2 linked regions of the Coturnix japonica genome follow. The protein of the gene in region 2 purifies or fractionates together with the protein of the main gene of each other region. This does not show direct contact. Links are inferred from orthologs where the notes say so. Each region holds a gene or a part of one and is shown on either strand. Other genes may lie near its edges.

Region 1 (3,650 bases), on a different chromosome or scaffold from region 2:
AGGGATTCTTAGAGCCTGCAAGTGGAGCTGGGGCAGTGCTTCAGTGCTGTAGGGCTTATGGTCCCTGTCTTATGGATTGAGGCTGTCAAAGGGAGTGCAGGGAAGTGCTCTGTGCTTCCTGGCTCAGCTGTGCTCGCAGTGTTAGATGTGTTGGGATGCCCGTGTCTGTGCTGCACGCTGTGACCTGCTGCCTCGTGTCTGTGTCCCTGCAGTTATCGCTGCCCATGGAGTCGTCCCGCTCCGACACCTCCAACATCCGCCGCTGTTTGGCTCACAGCCTCTTCATGAACGCGGCCGAGCTGCAGCCGGACGGCACCTACAGCACCGTCAGCTCCCACCAGCCCGTGGCCATCCACCCCTCGTCCGTGCTGTTCCACTGCAAACCCTGCTGCGTGGTTTACAACGGGCTGCTGCACACCAACAAGTGCTACATGCGGGACCTGTGCGTGGTGGACGCGGACTGGTTGTATGATGCAGCACCTGACTATTTCCGCAGGAAACTCAGAGCAGCCAAGAACTGAGTGGGGCTGCAGGGCTCAATACAGGGCTCAGTGCAGGGCTCAGTGCAGGGCTCAATGCAGGGCTCGGTGCAGGGCTCAATGCAGGGCTCAGTGCAGGGCTCAGTGCAGGGCTGGGCTGTGATCTGTGCAGGGACAGCGGGGTTTTGCATCGCAAACAGGTGTAAAACTGGGAGGAAAATGGCTTCTCTGTGAGAGGCAGCACTCATGGCAACCTGTGGCTTTGAACCATCGTGGTGTTAAGAGCTGCTGTGTAAAACGGGACCTGCTTTGTGCTGGTGTTTAACATTGAGCTGTAATGGATGGGGCTGGAAGGAAACGAGCCCAGCAGCTCCTGCAGCAAACTCTCTATTTGTTGATGGTTCAGTTTGTGTTCCGGGCAGGTTTTACCGATGGAAAATAAAGACAAATAAATAAATTTCTACATACAAGGAGCAAAATCAAAGTGCTGTTTCACTGTCAGAATGGAGGTGCCTCATCTGTCCGCTCGGAGCGCTGCTCAGCGCGGCTCCCCCCGCCCGGCTCCTCCTTTGGAACCTTCTGGTCTCTCCCCCAAGGTCACTCCGCGTTGTATCTCGTTCCCTCCCCTTATTACCGGGGGCGGAGCTCCGGAAGCGCCCCGATCCCGTCCGGGTCATTCTCCTCCTCCTCGTCCCGTTTCTCGCCATGCTGCTCGCTCGAGCCCTTCGTTCCGCCGCCTCGTTCCGCCCCGCTCTGTCCCCGCTCCGCTCGCTCTGGTCCGTCCCGCAGCCGCTCCCGGCTCGTTCCCTGTGGCAGCGGAGCGATGTTGTTGTTGGCTGGAGGGCGGCGCTGCTCAGACCGCGCCGGGGAACTGCGGGCGGCGTGTCCTGCGGCTGCGGCGGGCTGCACACGGAGGGTGAGTCGGGACGGAGCCGCACGTGGTGATGGAGGTGGGGGTGGATGCGGGGGGTGGTGCCGGTGCTGAGCGGTTTCTCTCTCCCCGCAGGGGACAAAGCGTTCGCTCAGTTCCTGACGGATGAGATCCAGGAGGAGCGGAAGATCCAGAAGCACAAAGCGCTGCCCAAAGTGTCGGGCGGGTGGGAGCTGGAGGTGCACGGCACCGAGGCGAGGCTGGTGCGCAAAGTCGCCGGGGAAAAGTGAGCAATGAAATAACGAACGGGAGCGATGCGAGCGGGGCCTTCCCGGCTGTGATGGTTTAACTCGTGTCCTTTGTGCAGGATCACGGTTACCTTCAACATCAACAACAGCATCCCGCCCGCTGTGGATGAGGACGCGCCGGAGGAGCAGAAACACGAGGAGCAGGAGGAGGTGAGCACAGCACAGAGCCAGGGGACCACAAAGGGCCGCCGTGTGCTCAGTCTGATTTTGGGAGTGGGAACACACAGAGCAGGACGGCCCTGGGAGACCCCCATGGACCATCCCACCCCCTGCTGAGCACTGCGGGCACCTCGTGGCTGTGCTGGCTCCTGCTCAGCCCTCAGCACTGATCGGCTGCTTCTCTCCTTCAGCCCGATATCACATCGACTCCAAACTTTGTTGTGGAAGTCATTAAGGATGATACAAAGCAGACCCTCGTGCTTGACTGCCATTACCCCGAGGATGAGGTGAGCTGTGCTCTGGGTTCCTGTGTCTGCACAAAATGCTGCCTCCTTCTTTTCTCCTCACACAGGTTTTATCTCTGTAAGGAAACTGATGGGATGGGTTTCTTTCTGCTCATGTCCTGACCTTCTGATCAGCTCAATGTGTGGCATTAAGGGGGTTGTGTTCCCACCTGCAGGATGAAGCAGCTGATGGTTCCCTCTAATTACAGCTAATACATCCTGTGCCTCATTTCCTATTTCAGGTTGGCCACGAGGGAGAGGAAGAAAGTGACATCTTCACCATTAGGGAGGTCAGCTTCCAGCCCACCGGGGAATCAGATTGGAAGGACACCAACTACACCCTCAATACGGATTCCCTCGACTGGGTAAGTGCTGCTGATTTACATTGTACTCCTATTCCATCATGAATCATTTGCTCACCCTGTTGGAGGTGATATGGCAGCTATTGGCACCAAGCAGGAGCACCAGCTCTATGAGGAACAAGGGGGGAGCCCACAAGCCTAATTGTATTGCAGTAGTTAAGTAGGATTTGAAGCTGTGCTCTGCTAAGGCTGTTTTCTGTTCCTTGTTGCAGGCTCTGTATGATCACTTAATGGATTTCCTGGCTGACCGAGGAGTGGATAACACGTTTGCTGATGAGTTAATTGAGCTCAGCACTGCGCTGGAGCATCAGGAGTACATTAAATTCCTTGAAGACCTTAAAAGCTTTGTTAAATGTCAGTAGGGAAGGAAAGCAGCGTTCAGTGTGGGCATTACACAGCAGTGCTCCACCAGCAGAACCACAACGTATCTTCACAACAGAGATGGAGTAACTGAATTGGGAATTGAGCATCACGGGACAGTGAGGGGCCTCACTTGTATTTATGCTACGTTGCAGCCCAGCTCAGGTTCTCAAACAGGACTGTCTGGACCTGCCTCCCCCTGCTGCATTTTGTACCATTAGGAATGAAGGTGAATAATAAAATGTGTTCAAAACTCCCTGAAAAGTAGTTGTTTTTTTCTTCATGTTGATCAGTTGCCATAAGGGATATCTGTGTGTTCCCTGACCTGAGAAGTTAATGCAGCTGCCTGCAGAGCTGGGCAGTGTTAGGCCAGTTTTTCTCCAGGGCTATTCTAGCCCAATCTAGTCCATCTGTACCTGTTAGTATCAACGCATCTGCTCTAGAAAAATACTGCAGACAAGTTGGAGCTCTTTCCTTGCAGTAATTCAAGTCCTGTGGATGCTGAACATCAGCAGCATTGCAGAGCAGCAGATTTGGGCTTCTACTCAACCTGCTGCGTCCAGGTGATGCCTCAAGGTCTGAGTCAGCCCCAGTGGCAGAGCAGGAGATGCTCCCGCACCATGCAGCCATGCATTAAAGAGCTGCCTCTTATTTCAGCTTGAAGGCAGCCAAGGACAGAACAACGAGAAGAGGCAGAATACTTTGTGACTATTGATCAACCTCCCTGTTGATTCCAGGGCAATACTTAATAGTCCTGAGTGTAGTGGGTAAGATTGTAAGGAGGAACCTGCTTTTAGAACAGAAGGATACATTAAAAACACTGTCAT
Region 2 (2,478 bases):
CCGCTGTCCCGTCCGCCAGCAGGTGATGTCTGCCCCCGGCCCCGTGATTAATGCTTCCCAAAGCACTCCACTTTACAATCTCTTGTAATTATTTATTAAACGAAATCTATTTATTATTATTTTAGCAAACAGCGGTACCAGGTGGGGCTTTCTTTCCCTCTCCAGCTTTTGTTTGAAGGACGTTTGAAGTGGGCAGTCTGAGCCTTGCAAACTCGCTCGCCAGATTTTTTTGTCATCCAATTGCACAGGCACAAAAAAAAAAAAAAAAAAAAAAAAAAAAAAAAAAAAAGGCCCCTCCGGGTCCTCCCTATTCATCCCCCGCCGCCCTCTCCTCAGCCCCTACGCGAGGGCCGCTCGGGGCCGCACGCCCCCACCCCTCGGCCCCGCTCCGCCGCTCCCCGACCGCCGCCCGCGGGGGAGCGCAGCCGCCACGCGCCCCTGGAGAGCCCCAGCGCCCCGCGCCGCCTCCCCCCCGGGCACGAACCGCGGCCGGGGACCGCGGGCGAGCGGAGGGGAGAAGAAGGCGGGGCCCGGCCCTGGGCAGCGCCCCCCGCCCCGGCGCGGTCCGGCACGGCCAACGGCGGAGCTGTCGTCCCCGTGCGGGCATCGCCGCGCCGTTTTGGTGATGGAGCAGGGGGCTCCCGCCCCACCCGGACTGCGCCCCGAGGCCGGACCCGCCCGCCACACCCGAGGGCTCCGTGCTGCGCGGGGGGCTCCGGCCCCGCCGTCCGTGGTCCCGCGCACCGCGCCGGGCGAACGAGGGCAGGGAGGGAACAGCTCCCCGCCGCTCGCCGCCGTCCGTGCGCAAAGCTCCGGAAGCATTTTGCGCACCGAGCCCCGGCGGTGGGGCTGCCCTCCCCGGGCCAAGCGCGGGGCCGGCGGGGCTCGGGGGGCCGGGGACACTTCGGGGGGACCCTTTCCCGGCGGGAGGCATCCCTTGTTTCCCGGGGTGCGGCGGGAGGGCGACGGGAGCGGGCAGCAGAGAGGGCTCCCCCTCGGCCTGGCGCTGGCGATCGGAGCCTGGGGGGCGCGGGGCGGGAGGGGCTGCGGGGGCTCTCGCTCGGCCGGGCCGGGGCTGCGGGCGGTGCCGGGCCGGCACGCTCCCGGCGGGCTGATAAGATAAAAGCGTGCCAAGGGGTGGGTGCGGGCGGGGGGGCGCGCACGCCGCCCGACCGGGAAATCCCCATTGTCTGCCAGCCCTATATATAGGGGCTTAACGGCAGTCGTGTGCCGGCCGTGCAACCCGTGCTGCCCGCGCTCAAGGGACTGCACGGGGCGGTCGCGGAGCCTTCCCCGAGGGAGTGCAGGTGCAGTCGTCGTCGTCGGGGCGCAGCGGGGCCTCGGGGCCGGCTCCCCGCGGGCCGACGCCGCTCGGCTTCGCACGATGGCCCCTCAGAGCGACCGCACCCCTGGCGCCGGGCAACCCTACTTCGGCGACCCCGACGCCTCCGCATCCCCGGCCGCGGGCGGCTCCGCGGGCACGGGCAGCCGGGGCGCGTCCCCCGCCCGCAGCGCGCTGGCCCCGCGGGAGGCGGCCCGCAGGAAGGGGTTGGGGAAGGCGCGGCGCGGCCGCGGGAAGGCGCGCGGCGAGGGGCCGCTCAGCAAGCAAAAGCGAAGCCGGCGCATGAAAGCCAACGACCGGGAGAGGAACCGCATGCACCACCTCAACTCCGCCCTGGACGCGCTCCGCAGCGTCCTGCCCACCTTCCCCGACGACGCCAAGCTCACCAAGATCGAGACGCTCCGCTTCGCGCACAACTACATCTGGGCGCTCACGCAGAGCCTACTCTTGGCCGAGCAGGGCTTACCCGAACCTCCCCCGCCGCCGCCCCCCGCCGCCGTCGCCGCCGCCACCTCCCCCGGGCCCTGGGGCTCGCCCTGCCCCGCCGCCCCACCGCCCGCTGCCCCGCGCCGCGGCCCCGCCGCCTTCCCCTCCTTTCTCTGAGCGCAGCCGGGCCGCTCTCCGGCGCTGAACAGCGCCCGAGGGTCTCTTCGCGCACCTTGCGCCGGGGGCGACGGCTGGGCCCCCGTCCCTCCCCGTCCCGCCTGGCGAAGCAGGACCTGGGTCGGGCGGGCAGGCACAAATCACGGTTTTGTACTCGGAAACGGTAAATTATATTAATTTGTCGCTATCTGTATTTATTGATTATATTTCGTAACAAATATATATTTTGTATATAAGAGTATTTTTGGCAGCGGTGGTCCGTATGTTTGTACCGCTGAAGGGGCCGCGAATGTATTCTTTTTCTTATTATTTTTTAGTTACTATTGGAAGAAGAGGAGAATAAAGTGTGTCGCGGTCAGACCTGTGCAACCCGCTGCTTTCCTTTCCAACAAGATCTTTCAATATCGCGCGCAGTACGCGCCTGGGAAGACAGCGCCGGCCGCGAGGAGGCCTGAGCACTGTGTGTGCTCAGAGCAGCTCAGCGGGGTCCTGCGCCCTTGAGCAACCCTCCGTGCGCCCTCCACCACCCTGCG

What was found. The genes of interacting proteins can lie anywhere in the genome.
Region 1: the proteins of NEUROG3 (region 2) and C1QBP purify together in Homo sapiens (affinity purification with mass spectrometry; 3 studies listed by BioGRID and IntAct, counting the BioPlex papers as one, with this or other methods). This does not show direct contact. The link is inferred for Coturnix japonica from reciprocal best matches to the Homo sapiens genes NEUROG3 and C1QBP.

The regions. Positions count from the first base shown.
Region 1 is NC_029534.1:2,454,488-2,458,137, forward strand, and holds C1QBP (complement component 1 Q subcomponent-binding protein, mitochondrial), read left to right. Parts: upstream 1-1,136; 5' UTR 1,137-1,184; coding exon 1,185-1,395; intron 1,396-1,485; coding exon 1,486-1,636; intron 1,637-1,717; coding exon 1,718-1,808; intron 1,809-2,008; coding exon 2,009-2,104; intron 2,105-2,343; coding exon 2,344-2,466; intron 2,467-2,675; coding exon 2,676-2,825; 3' UTR 2,826-3,087; downstream 3,088-3,650. Other genes in the region: ATP-dependent RNA helicase DHX33, read left to right, coding at 213-521.
Region 2 is NC_029521.1:8,931,540-8,934,017, forward strand, and holds NEUROG3 (neurogenin-3), read left to right. Parts: upstream 1-1,384; coding exon 1,385-1,945; downstream 1,946-2,478. UniProt on the Homo sapiens protein: Acts as a transcriptional regulator. Together with NKX2-2, initiates transcriptional activation of NEUROD1. Involved in neurogenesis. Also required for the specification of a common precursor of the 4 pancreatic endocrine cell types.